Styela clava: one gene and its partners. The protein of the gene in region 3 purifies or fractionates together with the protein of the main gene of each other region. This does not show direct contact. Links are inferred from orthologs where the notes say so. Each region holds a gene or a part of one and is shown on either strand. Other genes may lie near its edges.

Region 1 (7,803 bases), on a different chromosome or scaffold from region 3:
ACGGACCATATCGTCCGTAGAGGGCAACATAAAGCATAAAATTACACATTCATTTTGAATATTTATTTGACTCATATATGGTGAACACACAGCAGTACAAATCTACATATAAGAATGGTCAAAATTGAATTTTGAATACATTATGAAATATTATCTGTGGCTGTTTATGACAAATAAAAATAAATATTTTTCACAATGGGACGTATTTATAAAAACATATACAGAAATTGAATTTGATAATACTGAATATTGTCGATCCATGCGTTTCCGAAATAGGAAGGGATTTTGCATTGTATTTGTGTTACCAATATTTTTAGTTCTTTATTATTGCTATAATACCTGTTTATGCACACATATAAAAACTAAATAATTTCTGACCAACCGATTTCAAATACTTTAACTCTTTACTCTATAACTCAGCAATTTTATTCTCAAACTCGATCGATGCCAATTTGTGTTAATCATATCGAATAAATAACTAGTTGTTAGAAGGGGATCAGGGATTGGTCGAAGCCATTGCTTTTCTATTACAAATACATTCTGATATTTCATTTCCTGGGTATGAAATATCAAATATATCTGAAATATTGCACATCCCTTTATTTTTTACCTCATTTGGAACAAACTATTTGGAATTTGAAATGTTTGAAGGCTACAATACTGAAATTTGGGAATAATACCAACATTTCCACTCTCAAATACCTGATAGCTTCACAATACTCCACCAATTACATACCAAGTATGGGCCAAGTATGTATTGATAATTGCCTAAAAATCCAATATAATTGCATTCTCGACATGTTATTAGTTTATTGACTTCCCTGAGACAAGCACAAGACAAAATGTATCAATTACTAGACAGTAACGCCAGTAAATGTATTGAAATATTGATTGCTCGAACTCTGGGGAATTGTGCATATATATTGCAAAATATTTTGAATGTAAAATATGGTGAACGAATCTGCAGATAATATTACTCTCTAGCTGAAATGTCTAAACAACTGGTTCTCAAACAGTGGTTCATGGCCCACTTCTGGGCCATAGCAACATTTCCAAGTGGGGCACAAACCCGTTAAAAACTGCTAGAGTTATTGATAAATACCGTTTCATTTGCGTCACTATAGTTAAATTTTGATTGTAGCAGCAATGAATGCTGATGCTGTATTTCGCTACTGAGGGGTAATTTTCATTCTGATTAGTAAAGTGAAAGTATTTTCTTGAAAGTATTTATTTGTATTTTATCTTTTGCGTGATAAAATTTAATGGGCCACGAAATATTTGTGCAACAAAAATGGGCCACGAAAGAAGAAAGGTTGAGAACTACTGGTCGAAGCGGATAGCGGATATTTACGCGTTCAATAAAATATATTTTTGAATCTGATTAAAATTTTATTACAGCAAGTAACATCTGACCGAGACCAAAAAATTCTAAGGCGCACCCCACCTCACTTGGGGTGCAATAAATTTAAATAGATGACAGTGGCTCCTTGTATAGGACCTTGTTGGAAATGAGAGTCATGAATATGTGTAGTATAAAAAAAAAGTGCCTGCACTTCAAACAAACTAATTCAGATTATATTCAATATTCAAAATTAATGTTTTAGAATGAATTAGGAATTGTAAGCTATATTCGTCATCATGGCTAACAATAGCTAAAAAAACCTAAACTAATTTCAACTAACCTGTCTCCAATTCCACTCTTAACCCAGCTTATGACAGCTTCGAAAACTTTTTCCTCTGACGCCACGGACAAACGATCGCTGTTAATGAGATCGCATACTTGTTCGCAAGACAAATTGTGAAACTCTTCACCTGTGAATTCAAAAACAATTTATCAGGAAGGCCTAAAAGAAATCAAACATCAAAATCCATCTGAGATTAAGTATATTCAATAACAGTGGTTCTCAAACATTTTAAGCCGTGCCCCCCTTTTGTCAAGTCGCGCACCCCACCTCAAAAATAACTAGCTAACATTTAGCTGCAAATAAAAGATAGTAAGAAGAAAGTATGCTTTATTCACAAAAACATGTTGAAAATAAGTGGATGGAGCGTAAATAATGAAATAAATGAAACGTTTTTAGTATGTTTTCGCATGCTTTATCAAGATTTGGAAAGAATGCGGGATTTCCATTTTGAATTCTCTGAAATAAGGCCGGCAAGATCAAATCTAACAAATATTTTTTATTTAGCTTCACCTCCTCTCAAAAATTGTCTACGATCAACCCCCTTATGGGATGCACCACATCGTTTGAGAACCACTGTTCTACTTGGAGAATGACTCCCGACTCCTACCAAACACTTTCCACTATCAACTGACCGTGTACGACATCAGTGAAATGTTGTTCTGTGAACGACTTTGCTTGATCATGTAGATCAGTGCAAGCATGGATATCCGCAAACTGACGAATTCCAAGACAATTTGTGGGGTGTAATTGTGATTGGAGAAAGAAACAACATGACTCTCGAACGTAGGTTAGTTCCAATAAACTTGCAGCAGGAAGGAGATTCTGGACGTTTTCTTCTGTAATTTCAATTTGAGCAGTGTAGACATATTCCACAAGCTCTTTCAAAGCGTCACCATTTATTCCGTTTAATTTTACACGATCGGCTCGACACTCAGACATTTTTCCACCAAACATAGCCATAAAATAGGGAGAAACTGAAGCCATTATTAGTTTATGAACTGGGACTTCTGCTCCCTCGGCAACAAGAAGAACATCACACATAACCCGATTTTTGCGGAGTTGATTCATCAAAGAAAATGCTTCTTTCGAGTGCACATCATTATGAAATTGCTGCCCGTTACTCGGAACACGACCAGTGGCGTCGCAAACTGCTGCGGCTGTGCTTTCGCTGCACGATTCAAGCTCATTACCGAGGAAATTCATCATTTTGAACTTTGTTAAATTGATAAGTTGAATGGGAACAATATAATTTTGACTGAAAAAGGAACTGTGAAGAATCTATGTCTAAATTATTTTACCAAACTGTAGTTAAAAAATATTATTGATTATGAAGCTATAAATTAGTTCTCGATTCCAACAACCAGACAACTGAACAAGAGTCTTGTAAATTAAACGCTGTACAGCCGCAACTGCATACTGTAAATCATGCTAAACAAAAATGTGATGTGAAAATACAACCCAAATATCTGCTAAAAATGAAAAAAAAATATAAAAGTTTGTCTTGCGCAAACACATTACAATAAACGGCACTGACATACCTGCCTAGTTCTGTAGTTGAAAATTGAGTACCGGTAGGCTGCGAGGCTTGATTTGAAATAAAGGCTTTTTTCTTTCTTCGTCATAACGCTGTACCGGTACCGGCACAAACTTTTGTGGTAATTACATTAAAATGGCATGTCACATTTTAGTTTGGCATTGTTTGAGCAGTTACCGGTACGGCGTTCACTTCACTAAACCCCAGCCAGAACAATGCCCAGCCTGCCAGATGCCCCTGCAAGCTGCAACCCTGATATTTCACCAAAGTTACTCTAGCCCACAATTTCCCAGGGCTGACGGCTAACTCGCCATGGGGGCTAACTCGCCATGCGACGGCGGTTAACGGGTTAGCCTGCAATTGTGCGGAGGCTCTTCTTGTAATGGGAGATGGAAAGGTGGCTGTTTATACTAACAACTTCAATAATAAGGATAAATATATCAAAATAAATGTGTTTGGTTACAATACCTACTATGCAAATGGTAACAACGTGACAAGAAAACGCTTATATATCGGAAGGCATACCGGTACCGGTACCGTACGGTACCGGTACTCGACGCGCAAAGGATGTCTCAACTTATCATTTTCATCTAAGCATGCTAAATATATCATCATATTAATTGATTGTATGAGCACTAAATCAACAACAACGCTAAATATATCAAAAGTTCTATTTGGCTACCGGCAGTCTCATTTTATTCTAACAGCGGCGGTGTGGCTCAACGGGCTAAGCGTTAGGAATACGCTCGCCACCGCACCTCTAATTACTCTGCGTGGGTTCGCAGGTTCGAATCCCATGCAGGGATGGTTATGTGCGAGAGGATTGCTGGACTCCTCGCCGTCGTTGGGTGGTTCACGTAACCGCTGGTCGGTTACGGCTTCCTCCACCACCAAGTCCATGCTTCCGAAAAACAAACAATACAGTAAAAACTAATCCCATACCCGACTTGGAATGGTAACCGGACGAGAGGCCGTGGTTCGCCATATGGATAAGCCGTCTTATCGGCTTTCCTCTCCCCCGGGATAAATATGTAAATCCTATCCTATCCTATCCTAACAGTCGTTGATTGCGAGCAGAGAGGGAGAGAGAGAGCTAACTCGCCATGTCTATTTTCTTTATAATTGACGATCGACATAAATTTATCCAATGACATTAAACAACATGATGGGCAACTCTGACGTCACTCCATACGACTACAGGCTAAAGATTGTATTTCATGATACGCTCCAATGCACATAGTTATCGTCTCCTTTCGCGACCGTTTTCCGTTCGCTTTTGCTACCTGGCGCCTTTTTTACCTGTAGTATCTGCCTTCTTGCGTCTGTGACGAAAGAAAATAATCATTATATCTAAGAAGTTTTGCTCACTTGGAAAGCTGGAATGGCAGACAAGCTAGCTGTAAAGAGTAATTCTGGACATCATAGACGTTTTTTTTTTATCAGAGAAGATTACAAACACGATACTGTAAAGATTTGTGTGGAACATTTTGCAGATAATGACAAAGTTCAAAGATAGTAATTTTAATGTTTGCGCTTAAACATTGAAATTTCATTTAAAGAGGGTGTCATACAAAACAGCAAAACTGTTTTTACTTCTTTTAACGGTGCTGTGATACAATTCCATAACACAGAGTTTGCACCTATCGAACTTGCTTTAGTTGGTGAATTTATTAGACATATTACATATTCAGTTAATCGTGGGTAACATTGCTGGTACATAATGCCCCGTAGATTGGTTTGTTTAAATTTAGGAATTTATCTCATAGCCCACTATTTAATATTATCTTCTATGCAGGAGGTTCAGGGCTGATTCAACTTTCAGCCTTACCGATCACCTGACGATGCTCATTTAGTTTGGCTCGAGTAAGTCTTCTTGAAAGACTTGTGTGGATGGAAACTACCTATATATGTTTTGCCTTCCTCCGATTTTAGAAGACAAATTTATTCTGGGGGATTTTGCATATAATTCTCATTGATTGTTGGCTGTTTATAATTCCTATTAATTGTGAATTCTGATTATAACAAAGAGTTAAAAAAAATTTCACGTAATTTACTGGCACCTTTTTCTTGTCAATACTCAAAGCTGAGGTAATAAACAAGACAATACATTTATGTCATCTGGAAACTAAATATGCACACTAATTAATAGTTTGACACATTGAGATAATACATCATGACAGAACATACAAGTTGAAGATATGTATGACCATCACATGGTAATTGAAATAAAATTAATAGGGGCTGTGGAGTATAAAAGCTCAAAACAAAGAAAAGAACAAAAGTTCATAGCTCATGAACTCTCAATTTTGCCTCCATTGCTTTGTGAAGGCCAATATATTTCGAGTGGCTGAATTGGTTTACCTTTATGATAGCAACGATTTTGTATTTAATATAGCGAGATTTTTTTCAATTTAATTGAAGTGATATTATTTCCCAAAGCAATGCTTGAATCGTCTGGAATAGATCAGTGGTGTCAAACTCATTGATTTTTGAGAGCCGCATTGCATTTTGGAAATTGTAAAAAGGGCCGCAAACAGTTTTTGATAATGTATAATTGAAAGATATTTTTAAGATAGTTTTAGTTTGTGACATATATTGTGATGCAACTAAACAGTTGGATTAAGTTTTATTATTTTCTTTAATTTCAAATGCAATTACATATTAATATTTGCATTCCACTATTATTGCAAGTTAATGTATTTGTTATAAAAAATCCTAAAATTCTATGTACAACCATCAAAATCATTTTTGAACAAGCTTTGGATAAGAAAAAAATAATACATACACTAAAAATGACTTAATCTAAATATATGGACCTAAAATTAAAAATAATACTACAGTATAAATTCAATGTTTTTTTAATTGCATTTGCCCTGACGTTTGGCAGCTTTTTTGTGTCACCAGCATATTAAGGCCAGGCTGAAATGATTTTATAGTTCCAACTCTAACTAACGAGGTCACATGATCATGGGTTAATCTGGATCTTTGCGAATGTTTAATTAATTCCAGTAATGCAAAAAAGTTACTTTTATCATTTCATGTACAGATCAGTAAAAAAACAAATGACAGATTTTTTCGACAAGACATTTCGCGCCACATTGCGTGGCATAGGATTGCTTGAATTATTATTGATATTGATTTTTAGTAACTAGAACGTTGTATAATTATATTAAAATATATACAAACACATGGAAATTTTCTGTTCGAAGTTGGTCTTTGAATTTGTCATATTGACTGCTGAGGTTATTGTGTTTTTTCATTGTATTGATGGAAATATGACAAATTAAACAATGTGCTTCAGAATTTTGTGAAATGCAGAAATATTGCAACTCCCATTTTCTTCGAAAATGCCACCTTCTTCATGTACTTTGCGTTTAATTTAATTACTCAAGTGTTTTATTCAAGTATTCTTTTGCTAGCTTGATGTGTATTCTTAATTGGGCCAAAATGTTAACAAAAAATAAATTAATTGTTCAAAACTACTTTCAGTAAATTGTTTTCTGTGTGAATAATCAATTTTACTTTGAAAGGTTTGAAAAATCTATTACAGTTAGATAAAAAAAAAACTTCCAAAATACCATTACAATTATTGTTAAGCGTTCGAGGGCCGCAGTGGAAGTTCTCTGGGGCCGCGAGTTTGACATCCCTGGTCTAGATTGAAGTTGTCTAAAATATATATAACAGTATTTTATCATGAATCATGTTTTTCCCCTTACCTGAATTTCTTCTATAGTACTACATAAAGTTGATGAACCAAAGAACCATTTTCCAAAGCTGTTTTAAGTATGTCTGGCGTGTTTTGTGCCTTTTTACAAATAAGATCGCTTATGCAATCTTACACTTTGGAATTTTTAGTTATTTTCCTCAAGCTTTTCAGGATGTGGGGGCCATACACAACTCTACTAGAGGGTCAAATGTCTTTGCATGCCTCCATAGGTTGTTCTTCTATTGCAAACATTTATGGAGTACTCCAATTATATTTCTTGGAATCACACCGTCACTGATATCGCCAGACTTCTGATATCTCCCCTTCTGCTATAGTTGTCCTGTGAATAAATAATAGGAAATTGAGATTAGACGAATAGTTGAAAGTTTTGCTTTATGTCGGCTTAATTTATTGATTGATATACTTACTATTTTTGCTATTGCCTCTTGTGCTGCAGGAGTCTCACAATGCTTAGACAGGTTCGTCCACAACTTTCACATCTGAAGAAAGAGAGGAGATTTATTAATTTTCGTTAAGAATAAATAAAGCAGTCTATATGATTTAGAATGGAAAAGCTAATATATTCAATATCTCATGATTTATGTAAATATGTTTTACTGAATTTGGTATATAAACCAACTAATAAAGGGGTTTAGTCAGAAACTTACAAGCATTCGTGGCTCCAAATAATTGAGAGATCAGATTATACAATATAGACCGGTATGAGTGGAATTTTAGGTGAACTTGTTAATCCTTTGATTCAATACGCAAATAAAAGTGAATGCGCAATAGTATGTTACACCAATGAGTATATATCCTGACTGATTAAAAAAATCTAAATGGAGGTGCATGAACTATTTGGAACCATAAGGGTTAGG
Region 2 (6,863 bases), on a different chromosome or scaffold from region 3:
ATCACATTTTCGTTGGGTGTTATTTGAGCCGTTACGGTACCGTACTCCTGGTAATTAAAAGCGCTATAACTTTCACATCACAATTTACAGATTTAGTTAGGTGTTATTTAATCAGTTACGGCGACATAGTTCAGGAGTTACTTTCAGACTTTAGTCGTTTTCAGTCAGTTCTGCTGTTTGAATCTGTTCACAACACTGTTCGGCTTAACTTATTGTATAACATTGTCAGAACGCCAGCCCACACTCGTGTGACGCTAGCCCACACTTGTGTGACGCCAGCCCACACTCGGCCATATTAGGGGTATTTGGGCCGTGCTTGGTATTGTATTTGCGTTGGATATATCGGGTTTGGTCTATATATTATCACAGTAACCAAGTTTTTATTAACTAACTCCTCCTAACTCCTTGCCTATATTCGACTAACCCGTTGACCGCAGGCTGAGTGTGGGCTGGGGCAAAGCGTATATATAATATAAGCGAGGCAACGCTCAGACAATGGACGCCATCTTGTGCCTATTGTTCTCGGCAACTTAACAGGGCGCCTTATGAGAAGTTCCAACACAATTATTGAAACATACCTATTATTTTCACTAATATTATAGGTAAAAAAAATTTAAAGGTGGCGTTTTGAAGTAGAATCTTAGCCGAACATGCTTATATCCTTTCATGTTGGCCAAATTACATTTATAGTACATTAAATTGTCTTTGAAGACAAGTATACCGGTTCCGAGTTGCCTCCGAAGTAAATTGGCTATTCTAATCGTCATAATTAACTATTTGACAATGGCGTTCCTTATGACGTCACAGATGAAAAGTTGTATTTATTCGTCGAAATTACTGGCCGACCCAACTCTGCTTCAATGGCCGTTTCTATTTTCTGGTTAACATTTTTCATCTGTCAAGCTCCATAATGCCTTACTGCTCGGCTCCAAGCTGCGCTAGAAGAACAAATGACATTTTAGGATTGTTGCGGAGACATTTTACTGCCTCAAATTAGCGTATCACTATAAAATCTTCGAAAAAAGGACCAAAAATGGTTCTACGCTGTGTTTGGGGTCAAATTTAACGCATTAGATAGTTTTTTATTCTTAATTGCAATATATATTTAAATAGCATATATCTTAAAGTTCAAAATCCACCCTTCAGTTTCATTCTAGCCCTTATAACAGCGGACTTATTCGATTCGGTACAACAACACAACGAAAATTTCCCATAAGACTCCATTGTTTCGCGTTTCCCAAATATGGCATAAGATGGCTTCCATGAACTTGTTTAACATTAGGCAGGTTGGTTGCCGGCCGTTGGGCTGGGGTAACTCTGGTGGCCTGCCAGTATGCAGTACCTGCAGTATATACAAAATTATCGTAGCGGCTGAGCAGTAACATTAACTGATACATGGATTTTGTAATATTGGAATCTTTCAACATGTTTAAAAGAATTGCTGGTACCATATTCATCAGTATTGCTGTAACCATATCATTGGATCTTACTATTTTTACTCTAAATTTTACTGACGTTGCTCATATAGCAGTAGCAGTGTAGTTCAGTAGTACGGTATGTTACCGATCAAACATGTATTCCACAGTGACACAGGATTCAATATTCTATTTATAATTTATGACGTATAGAGAAATTTTTACAATTCTTGGACGAGACTTTTAGGCAATGCTGTCAAGCTGTGGAGTCGAAAAGAAAACTTAATTTTAATTACCACATTAACGGTACTATATATGAACCATTGCATAAACGACTTCGAGTGAATGGCAATTTTGAGTTCAAATCTTTATTCTTGACTCAGGGTTGGAGGAAATTTTAACTCTAGCTCAGTAGCTTCTAACTCCAGAAAACCAAATTTTGACCATAAAAACTTTGTCATATGCAACAGTTCTTCAATTGCCTGTTGAAAATGCTTAGTAAACCCATTGCTTTTTTTATTCTATCCAAAATTTTGATGTAAGTCACGACCCATAGGAAACACTGATTTACTGGGCACTTTATAGGTTTTCAAATAGCTAGAAAGTGTTGGTTTGATTGCTGATAGCATTTACAAACTAAAAACTTTTAATCACAAAATATTTTCTGTAGTCTGATTTCAGTTAACTAAGACATATACATATGCTATAATTTTATCATGTTTGAGTAACTTATTGATTATAGTCTTATCTAACTGAACAAATCTATATTGACCTTTATGGCTTAATATGATATACATTGCAGTGATAAAATTCTGTCTAAATTTGGTCTTTTTTAACCTTAATTAACCCATTGAACTTTTTACAATCAATGACGTTTCATAGCTTTAATTAATGAAGAATAGCTTTAATTAATGAAGAGTTACATCATTTTGATGTAATTATGAACTGAATGATTATTGTGCACGACCTAATTATAAATAACTCTCCTCTACTGCTACCTCGTCACAAAGTTATAGTGTCAATTTGTTAGCTGGTAACAATACATTTCTGTTGTGACAATTAATCAAACATGGCATTGTTCGTTTTTTTATACTTGTTTGCAGGTTTAATGTATGACAGGTAATTAATATGTGATTGATTTTTGTAGACTTTATGTTAGAAATCAAATTATTCCTCGCCATCACCAAGTCATAGATGGATTTAATCTAGCCTCTGTCTAAACTCTGGCTGAATGAATATTGAAATTCCTGTTTTTTAAATAGGTCTCAGGCTTGAAAATGTAGTGCAGTGGGAATGTGGTAAGAATATCTTATCAGGTCAATTTGAGGAAAGACAAACCGGGAACAAATTGTTTTGATATTTATGGCCAGTTGAAAGGTTTTCTTTAAATTAAATCAGATGTGTTTGGCTTGTCTAGCCGGTTTCTCAAGCCAGTCCTTTGTCGCCGCTTGGGCGCATAGAGCAGTAGTCTGCTGGCCATGAGCTGAGTGCCATTTACAATGACTATAATAATTTAAAGTGAATTGACTGTGAAATATGAATGTTCAATTTGTTGGCTGTAATGCTATTATCCTTCTGCCGGATTTTTAAATTTTAGATGTGGAGCATGAAATGACTGATTGAAAGTGTTAAAAGCAAAACTACCCAAGATTTTCTTATAGAATATAACAAAGTTACAGGTGTTGAGTCTTTATTAAAAGATGTTCCTGATTATAAAAAATTAAAATATTAGTTAATGAGTGAACATGTCTAAATAATTAATCTGTAATTTTATCCGTGTATGTCCAGCTCATTTTCATTAATATATTTCCTATATTCTTTGTTTTAAAGTGATTTTTTTAGATTTGTTACATAATGCGGGTATTTATATAAAAGTTCGAAAATAAGCTTTTAAATTCTAATTTCATGAAATTTTAAATCTATATATAAAATTTAGTGTCTCTTCTGCTTTAAATTATGTTTTATTTAACCTTATTCTAACCTGGGAATTATTTCATCGAGTGTAAAATAATAGTGTTATAATTCTGACATTTCATTATTTTTGTGGTGGAAGAGTCTGAATGATAGTAAGTCAATCTCTAAACATGAAATATTAAATTTTGCATAAAAGTTCATGTAATGACATTTGTATTATAAAGCATCTAAAGCTGTGGTTCTCTGAATTTCATGATTTATGCCCTTTCAATGATTGTCAACACTCTGTGGCCCATGTTCCTCAATGAAAAATATAAAATAAAGTTTTGTTTTTAGCGGGTTTCCATCAGGTATGCATGTATTTGAAAACCGTGCTTGTGGCCCCCTAGCGGCTCATTTTGAAAAATTGTGATCCAAAGTAAAGTAACATTGAAAATTAGCAAAATGAAATTAGTTTGGTTTATTAATCTGAATTTTGATACTACGACATCTTGATTTCTTGTTATCGCATAACTATATATCCTTACATCTTACAGTAAATTATATTGCATATTATCACTATAAAATCAATTAAAATGTCCAGTAGTAGTTTAAGTGAAGAACAAAATCGAATGGAAGAAGAATGTAGTAGTACCAATGGTACAAGCAGTTTATCTTCAGAAGCTAATGGTGTAGAATGTGCAAAAAAAATGAAATTGCCGGGAATGGCACCAGATCCACCTCCAGCTTCAGAAAGTATGATTTCATCTACAAGCAAATTGAGTGAAGGTACGGACTCTAGGTGCATCAATGGAATTATGACAAATGGAAATGGAAAAAGCAGATGGATTCGATTGAATGTCGGAGGAAAACATTTTGTCACAACTTTATCAACATTAAGCAAATATCCAAAATCTTTTCTCTACAGACTTTGTCAAGAGGATCCAGATATAGATTCTGATAAGGTTTGTTATATCATTTCCTTTTTTGATTGTAACAATCATGAATTGGATACTTGAAAACATTCAAAATTTATTATGTTCGATATTTTTGATATTTGAATAGGCTAGTTTTGATTTGGGCAGATTAGGTCTCCTAGTATAATTAGAAAGGCTTTTATTTAACTTCTATTGGCTGTAAAATAGAGTAGGCTACCAATCAAATCATTGATATCATAACTGTTCTGCACTTTCGTAATATTTATTATTTCTGCACTCCAAAAGTATTGTTTGGAGAGGTATTCGAAATGATAGATCGTTTGGTTTTTGCCATTATTCTAACTATTCCTTTGGAGTAAATGAAGTATATTAGATCATTCTGACTCCTGTACTAGAAGGTCAGTTTCACTTTATAAAATATTTATTTCAGTGGTTTGTGGGTCAAATTGATTACATATATTATATGATCCCATCCTTCGCTATTGCTGAATATTATTTCAGATAGAAATTATATCCTGTTATTCATAGAAAAAACTTCCATTTTATTCAGGTGGTTTATATTTCTTCACCTCTTCCGCAAGTGGTTTGCGGAATTGACTATCCTTTGTACATTCTGATACTTTATTCTAAATATGGAATGCCGAATATATATTCTAAAATATGTGATTTTGGTATAGTATTAGTGATTGATTTTTATAGTGGAAGTTTTGCAGGTTTTCTACAGTACAATACAGATATAGAATTAGCCTAGATTGGTCTGAAGTCGAACATCAATTTCTTAGAATAACTAATTGAAAATTATTATAATGTTCAAATATTTAAATTTATATATATATTCCATTCACTCAACATTTCAGCTCCATTTAAATCAGTATTGAAAAGATTGGACTATTTATTTTAAACTATTATTTTTGCCAGTTTATTGGTCAGCATTTCTAATGTATATTAATAAATCTTATTCATATGGGAATAGAGTATGTTATGTTTTTAAGAGTTCCCTGAGGAATATTTTACGAGATTTACCGATTGTAATGTATCCATTAGTCCACTTGACTTTCACAAGTCTGTCTCATTGTTTAATTTTTATGTAAAGCACCAGTATGCAAGGCAAATGAATACCCTTGTCAATGCTCAATTTAACATTAAACTCTTTTTTATTTAGGATGAAACAGGGGCATACTTGATTGACCGAGACCCGACCTATTTTGGTCCCGTCCTGAATTATTTACGACACGGAAAACTAGTGATCAATAAAGACCTTGCAGAGGAAGGTAGAGTACTATACGCATTTTTCTTCTCTCATATGCATACAAATATGTTATTTTTCATCTATAATACCTTTCCAGCTTTATGTAAAAACACCATCTGCAATGATCTTTAATTTATGGACTTCGATTCAACAATGGACACTCAGACTATTGCATTTTGAATAGGAATTGTATGAATCATATTTATGCTAAAATTTGAATACTAGAATTCATTTAGATATTGAGAGTTATTCAAAATATGGAAATAATCTTTATAATTGCATAACCATCTGTTTGATATGAGTATTTTTCATGCATGTGGTTAGGTTATTATACCTCTTGCAAATGTCCAATAGCATTGTCTTAATTTAATTTTATCGCTAAGTTTTGTATATTTTCAGCTCTAAATTGCCCAATAAAAATCTGGTATAACCAGCGATTCATATATGGACTTATCTCATTTTTGACTACTAAATTTTTTTATAGGTGTATTAGAAGAAGCAGAATTTTATAACATTGCTGAACTTATCAGACTCATTAAAGAAAGGATGATGGACAGGGATCTCAAAGTTGTCCAAGTAAATTTATTTCTATTTCGCTGTTGTGAATTATTTTCCATGATCAAGTCTCTAGATGGGCAGACACTTATATATGTAAGAAAATGCTTTGTTTTTCACTGGATCAGTATGGTATAGTGCGCTCCAGAAGTATGTGTACCAATATGGAGGTAACTAATTTTGTTTGCCTACTTTACATCAAGTTGTGTAAAGGGACTGAATCCTTGGGGCAGGGGGTGTATTCACTTGGCCAAAACAGACAGTCCAGAACTCGTAATAGAACTAAAATAAAGAAAATTGGAATAAAATTATGGCCTAACCTGGTACACGCACTACAAGAATACCGGGGATGGTACATAGCTACTACGGTCATTGAATTCAAACACAAAGTTTTATACCTCCGTTATAAACAGTTAAATCCAATGCTGTTACCAACCACTACACTTTCACAGATATAGTATAAACAAATAGAACATGTATTATACATTATAAACTATGGTATGTAATGTTACCTAACAAGTAACAATACTTTGTTTAGTTATAAAAATAGTCAAAAATTATGTTATATCAAATTGAGGTGGTAATCATGAAATTGCTACTCGGATAATGTGCAAGTGAGTCTGTGGGATAAAGTCAAATTACACATTTTAAAAATAAAGCATGATCCTAATTTGCCAGTTTGTTCTGCAAACAACATCGTGCTAAGCGTTAGCAATACGCTCGCTACCGCATCTCTGATTGGACTGCGTGGGTTCGCAACTTCCAATCCCATGCGGGGACAGTTATGAGCGAGAGGATTGCTGGACTCCTCGT
Region 3 (7,397 bases):
ATTAGCGAGTTATCAATCAATTATTGATATAGTGATCTAGATTTTTGTAAAGCAAGAGAATTTTGAGAACCGGCCCAGTGTGTGTGTGTGCGATGCGCAGTGCGCAAGTTACAAGAGCGGATGAATCGAAACTGCAGTTTCTGTTTTGGGGGATCCCCTAACTATCGATAAGTCTTCGGTTTCCAGCCGATATTCTCGTTTTCGAATCGCTAAGATTAGGTACATAAAGCGGAAACCACCTTTGCAGGACTTCTTTTCATCGGGCAAGCGGCGGCACATTGAGTTTAGACCACTCTCGCTCCTGGCTTAATTGGTTTCCGGATATTTCTCTCTATTTCTTTTGCCTTCATTTTGTGATAAACATGTCATTCCTAATGCCCGCCCGGTGGCACATGATTAGCCATTTCATGCATGGTCACCATAACTTAAAAGTTATCGGTAATGACGTTTTTTTGAGAGAGAACAAGGAGAAAAAGGCAATTTAGAAAATGATAGTTCTATGAATAGAATCGATATGAAGCTGTTAAGTTAGTTATCATAGGAACTTGGTACAGGCAACTCAAAGCTGAAACAGGTGTTTTGGGACCCTTATGATGGCAATACCTTATTTCAATGGAATTTGTAATTTCTTATGATGGCAATACTGTATTATTCATCAATACACCAAGACAAATAATTGCACTCTTGATTTTTGATGGCTGTTTTACACTAACAATATTAAAGTCATCAAACTAGCTTCGAATTTGTTAAATGCAATTTTGAATTTGATCAACAGCTTTATCTATATTAATGGTTGTTATTATGTGAATAGGATTAAAATAGCATCTACAGGCTTTACATGTCCTAATAAAACTGAATCCATTAGAATTGAGATTGCAATTTTTACCCTTAACACTCAACAGTTTTCGAGACCCAAATTTTTGAGTCCTCAAATTTTTTTGACCAGTTCATACAAGCGTGTGATCTCCTTTCATAAATCTGAAAACATTGTATTGCAAAATACCAGCAGTAAGTAAGATGTAACTGCACATACGTCACCACAACATCGAAGGGCAGGCGTTTATTGTATAATAAAGACAGATTTAGGATTGCGCAATAATATTCGATTATTCGGTTCGATTCGGCGAAAATATTCGATTCGAATCAAAAACTTATTCGATTTTGGACAGCCCTGGTGATAGCATGAAAAAACGCTGCAAGAGCATTTTGCCGTAAAACAAGTAATTGTGATAAAAACAGTTAGATTTATAGGGTTAGGTTATGCTCTTAAATAAAGAATCTTTTTAAAATAAGAATACTTCAAAAACCTAACCGTTTTATCACAAATACTTGTTTTATAGCAAAATGCTCTCGCGGCGATTTATCATGCGGCAATTTTTCCCATGCGGCGAAATTTCCTGCAGTGAGATTTCCTACGGCGAAATTTCCTGTGGCGAATATTCCAAGAACAGTTATTTCTTAATTGAAAAAAATGGGAAAAATCTGATACAGATTATTAGTTGCAAAAAACTGAAAACATACAATACCTTTTGTGTTAAATGTTCCGTAACAACTTCTCTTAGCCCATTGTATAATTTTTCACCATATTTGTGCAGAACCATAGTATAGGCATTTCTGTATAACTCCTCAAAACTGAGCCCGCTGTTATTTTTCTTTTGAATTTCTTGAATCGCATTTTTGAGCAGTTCCCAAATATTGGCAACATACTTTTCATCCATAGTCATCTGATAAAAAAGTTTCTACGCTCAGCAATAAAATCATATTCAAAAAATTCTGTATAGTCTTAACACAGATTAAAATTTGCCTATACAGTGATACCAAAAATTAGTAAAGATTTCCAGTAGACCTGTTCAATTAAATATCATATAGGCTATTATATAAAATTCCAATATCATACTCACTCGGAAGTTAAAATGGATAGAAAAAATAGTTTCCATCCTTAGCCTATACTGTTAATCAAATTATACATTTTTCTCAAAGTAACAAACTGTTACAAAGGTCAGTTAAGCTTCCATTTCTCTAAGTTTTTCAAGTGGATCCACATTTACAGCACTGAAAACAGTGTCAAAACCTGTCCAACGCATCCAATTATGGATAAAATCTTCCCTAATGTGCATCCCAATCCCAATGTTATTGTAAAAATTTGGTTGCTGGGTAGTCTTGTGATGTCATAATAGTAATTCCAAGATGAAGTCACATGGCTTAAAAATATGATCCCAAAATCTAAATACTGCTATTTTATATACAAAGTTAAAAAAATGTAACAGAGTCATTTTGTCTCACCTTGGCTTAGAATAAATGATTTAGACAAAATTTGCATATAAAAAATAGCATGTTGGCTATGACCATACTTAATCGAATGGCATATCTGCATAAGTAGCAAATCTGAATTTGAGTATGAATTATGGAGCAAAAATTGTATTTTTTTTCTGGGGTTTATCACCATAAAATCCAGCCCTCCTTGAGTTTAAAATGTATTTACTTTGTTACACAATAAATCAGTTTGAAATCAGACAGTATTACAAATAAATTTCAGAAAAGAGTTGGTACGTAAATCACTTAACTACTTTTAAAATACAATGCTAATAAAAATGCTATAAATTTTATACCACGGGCAAAATTCTTGATATTTATGCAAATGGTGAAATATAATCGTTGCTAAATATTTATCTTATCAAAAAAATGAATAATATAAAGCTACGGTTGCTTTTGTGGTGTGTGCAGTCAAAGCAAGTTAACATAATTCATTGAATTTAAATGTGTTGTAACTGTGAACTTATTTATAGAATTCTCATAGAAGATCAGGCTACTAATGATCGACTAACCTAGACATTATCAAGATAAAAACAACTAGTACCAGAGCAGTTGTTCATTCAGAATACTAACCGGAAAAGCCCGAATCCTCATTTTTGAGTCTTTTTTCGTTTGAAGTCGTGAATTCATGATGGCTGTCTTCTTATTTTACAAATCTGATGATTACTAGTCTCTTGGATGATAAAATTTTCAACTGACTGGTCTAACAGTAGACATTCTAATATATTAAAAAAATTTTATTAGCATTTTTTTTTTCAATTTTATCATATCCCCATACATTGTGTGGACTCCCAACTGACAAATAAGTCAGTGAAAAATGTTACCTCCATATTCGGCTCTCATAGCCAATTGATTGTCAACTTCACTTAACTAATATCATGCTAACACCTTAATACTGTAATATTCACACCATAGATCAGCCATATGATATATCAGCGCCAATATGTTACCACAAATCAATTTCCTTGTTATGTTAATGAATATATTAACTACATTCAATTGAAAAGTTTTAGCATTGCGTTTTCGATTTTGTTTCTTAAAAAAGATCAACAGATTCCAATGCTTTGTTTCAAAAAGCAGAATTGAAGCATTTTTGACACACTTCATAAGGCTGTAATGATGTTAACAGATATCAAAATGCAGAAATGTTCACTTCAAAAATTATATTGACCATAAAACCATTGGCAGATTGATGAAAAAATTGAACTCAAACAACTCTTCCTTATTCATAGGAAGACAAAACCGTGGGGGGAATAAATAAAATATCACAGGATTGAGCTCAATATCTCTTTATTTTTCTAATACTACGATACCAAGTTACAGAGTTATCTGAAACTTGAGCTTTTTATAAAAATGTTCCTTCGTTGGCAAATTTTCAGAGTATTTGTGGTTTTTATATTTTATTTTATGCTGTAAATTTCGATCTTTGCTGTTTTTGATCTATTTTCGCTGAGATTTCATAGAACAGTAGAAGGGAATATGGCGAGTGTTTGATTGTGTGATCAAACACAAGTCACTCATCTGGTATTGGACATATCGTACCGGTAATTGTTGCAAAGAACATTGCGGTTTTATGTTGAGACTTCATAAAACAGTATAAAAGTATATCTGTATATGGTAATTGATTGATTGTGTGAACAAAATCTATTCAATTTTCCCAGTTGCAATTATTAATTAAGTTATTCTGTTATTGAACATTAGGATAGGATTTACATATTTATCCCGGGGGCATTATGGCTGCACACTGCCTAAATTCAGAAATTATGAACGACTAGTGCAGTGGCGTATTCAGACTTTTACACTTATTTCTGCATTTTATAGCCTAGTAGAGTCCATGGACAGACTGAAATACCGTCAGACCGTACCGGTACTCTTGTGATAGTGCAGTACCGGTACCAAAACCAGGGTACTGTACCGGTACCGTTATGGTAACAAACACTAAAAGGGCTCAAGTCAGCCATAATGTAAATGTAGCTAACAGTCCGGTCTGCCGGTGATGATACTGGTAGTCACCATCTGGATAAGAAATCCTATTCTTGATCTAGCTAGACATAGACTAATGACTTACAGACGTACCGGTACGGTACTGTGGTACCGTATCTTTGTAACAGACCGATTAGGATATTCTGACATTATTACTGTATTAGGATAAGATAGGATTTACATATTTATCCCGGGGGAGAGAAAAGCCGATAAGACGGCTTATCCATATGGCGAACCACGGCCTCTCGTCCGGTTACCATTCCAAGTCGGGCATGGGATTAGTTATATTGTTTGTTTTTCGGAAGCACGGACTTGGATTAACATTTTCAGATTTTGCTCCTGGTACCGGTACGGTACCGGCAGTTAAAAAATTAAAGTTCGTCCTCTAAACGGTAGGTGCGGTACGTGGGTACGGTAACGGATTGTTGCCTACAGGTTTAGGCTTGAGCAGTTCTGCAGTTACGGTACCGGTATGACACCGAACGGCGCAAATAATAGAATACGGAACAGTGGAACCAAACTTCGAGTGGAACGAAGGAGCGTCAGCTGATATCATGAAATGAACTGAGATAGAGATGTACCGTTCATCCATTGGATGGCTCCCAAGATCAATAAACATGTCAAAAATTACGGTACAGTACATTTTTGCTGTGTCTAAAAAGAAATGTCTCATGATTGAGGATCCCGCTGTTGCATCTCCTGGCAATTCCCACAATCCTTGGTCGGTATCATGTGAGTTTGAGCTTTGCACGAGCAGTCCTTTAATCTGAGGGGAGGCCAATGAACTATTTGAATAAATAATATTATATGAGTAATATTTGTAGCTATCTGACCAACCCCGTGCAACTCCGGAAATTTGGTCCCGGTGCTGAATTCGCCGTCAAGCTCGACTTGGTTCTCTAACAGATTATTGCCTTGAAAATCATCGTGTGACGTTCTGCGTTTTTCTGTGTTCTGGAATATTACATGGAATGGAATGTTACACGATATACTTTACTATAGAACTGATTGAATGCAGATTGCAAAACAAAATAGAAGAACAATCAATTGAATGGGAAGAAACTAGTATTTTGGATTTCTGCCCATTGACAAATCACCCTTGCCTACTATGTCTCTTTAACTAATATCCCGAAATGAAACGAATAGATTTCTCCCAAAGTGATTTAATCCAGATATCAGTAAGACAAAGTGATCTGACAAACAATAAAGATGAATATTAAAATGAGTACAGACAATCAGGCACAATACAAAGCAAGAATATACCAATTCACTTACATTTAAATGAGGCTTTGTCAGAACAGATTATCCCAATGTAAGAAACTTAAGAAATAGATTATTCATATCCAATGACTATAGCACCATTAACAAGCTTATGAGAACAGATCTAAAGACAGACTAAAGCTCTAGACAGTTAACCATAACAAGAAGTAATCAAGTAATCAGCTAATAATCGCGATGCAGTGAACCATACGTAAACACACCAAAAGTAAGTAGTACCAAGATAAATCAGTCAAATGTTCAAACCACCCCCCCAGTCTATGAATGCAATGAAAAAGACGAAAATATTGAACATTGTTGACTCGGAGTAACTGATATGAGATTAGATGCCTTTCAACTCACATTGTAGCTCTTCTTTGGTCGCAATTAGACAAAGTTTATGTATTGGTCGATTGTATAAATTCCCATCGCTGTCTTTGATTGTAACACTTCTCACTAAGCCATCTGAACTGGGCATAATGTTGTGAACCAGTGCTTTTTTCCATAAACCTCTGGGTGCACTTCCGCCTTTAAATCCAGGTTGAAGAATTGATACGTAATCTCCAACTTGAAGATTGCGTCTTGTTCGAAACCATTTGTTAGCAAGTAATAGCTGAGGCGGTATGTGTTTCATCCATGTTTTCCAGAACACCTCAACTCTGTTTTCCGCCACTTTTAGCATGTCTCGTGGATTGAATCTCTCTTCTTGTGTAGTTTGAGGGACTATCTGCTTTGCATATGGATGTAAAAGAGTATTGCCAGTAATACAATTATATTCCAAAGGGTTTCCATCTGGGAAAAGTGGTCGACTATTGATGATATAAGTAATTTCGTTGAGAACAGTTGTCCATTCTTCGTAGGTCATAAGAGCCCTGCTGTAATTCACCACTGGTGCATCGAGTGCTTTGCGAACCGAGTTGATAAGCGATTCTACTACTCCATTCATATGTGACGCGTAAGGCACATTATATTTCCAATCAAATTTCGTTTGATTCTCTGCCATCTCATGTTGAATCAACTGAAAATTCCATTTCTCGATCTATTCCTTGATAGGCGCTTGACTAGCTTGAAATGTAGTACCTCCGTCGGAAAATACAAATGCAGGATGAATTCCCCTTATATATAGATACAAATCGTCTCCATGCCCGAAGGAACGAATTAGTATCCAGAGCCAGACACAGTTCCAGATGAATACAACAAGTGGTTGCACATGTAATAATTAAAACAGACGCGTTGATAACTACATTTCGAGATTGCTTTACTTTCAAGTATCCGAAAAAATCCATTGCTACAGAATTGAATGGTGCCATCTGTGGTTGCATTCGAAATGAAGGAAGTTCTCCCATGCTTTGCTGTAGCAACTTTCTACGACGAATTCTGCAAAATATACACATTGATGCTATTGATTTTAAAAGTATTCTTCCACCAATAAGAACAATACCGTCATTCTTCATATTTGCCAATATAACTCGATACCCTTGATGTAAGAACTTTTTATGATAGAACACTCCAAGAAGACGAACGAGGGAATGTTTGCCCGGAAGTACGACTGGATGCTTCATTTCCATATATAAATCAGTTCTATTCAGTCTTCCACCAATACGAAGAATTCCGTGAGAATCGAATAACAAGTTTAATTTCCATAGAGTTTTGACATCCTTCCCAAATTCATCAATCATAGATTTTTGACAAATTCTGAATATACATAATTTTGCTTTCTCTATGTATTGTACGACATCGGCAGGTTTAAATTCCAAATTGACAAATGATTTTTGCTGAAATGCACCCTTCATCCAAGCTGTCGCTCTTAGCAAGTCTTGCCTTGAAGAAAAATTATCCGCTAA

The links. The genes of interacting proteins can lie anywhere in the genome.
Region 1: the proteins of cullin-3-A-like (region 3) and kelch-like protein 3 purify together in Drosophila melanogaster (affinity purification with western blotting; 3 studies listed by BioGRID). This does not show direct contact. The link is inferred for Styela clava from reciprocal best matches to the Drosophila melanogaster genes Cul3 and kel.
Region 2: the proteins of cullin-3-A-like (region 3) and BTB/POZ domain-containing protein KCTD5-like purify together in Drosophila melanogaster (affinity purification with western blotting; 4 studies listed by BioGRID, with this or other methods). This does not show direct contact. The link is inferred for Styela clava from reciprocal best matches to the Drosophila melanogaster genes Cul3 and inc.

The regions. Positions count from the first base shown.
Region 1 is NC_135253.1:23,206,205-23,214,007, reverse strand, and holds the start of kelch-like protein 3, read right to left. Parts: upstream 3,008-7,803; 5' UTR 2,892-3,007; coding exon 2,318-2,891; intron 1,813-2,317; coding exon 1,683-1,812; intron 1-1,682. UniProt on the Drosophila melanogaster protein: Component of ring canals that regulates the flow of cytoplasm between cells. May be involved in the regulation of cytoplasm flow from nurse cells to the oocyte during oogenesis. Binds actin.
Region 2 is NC_135260.1:12,395,883-12,402,745, reverse strand, and holds the start of BTB/POZ domain-containing protein KCTD5-like, read left to right. Parts: upstream 1-3,856; 5' UTR 3,857-3,904; coding exon 3,905-4,273; intron 4,274-5,408; coding exon 5,409-5,517; intron 5,518-5,979; coding exon 5,980-6,071; intron 6,072-6,863.
Region 3 is NC_135256.1:22,950,237-22,957,633, reverse strand, and holds the start of cullin-3-A-like, read right to left. Parts: upstream 3,027-7,397; 5' UTR 2,944-3,026; coding exon 2,887-2,943; intron 2,825-2,886; exon of another isoform or gene 1,938-2,824; coding exon of another isoform or gene 1,902-1,937; intron 1,725-1,901; coding exon 1,527-1,724; intron 1-1,526. Other genes in the region: uncharacterized protein LOC144425210, read right to left, coding at 5,897-6,556; uncharacterized protein LOC120328661, read right to left, coding at 6,615-7,397.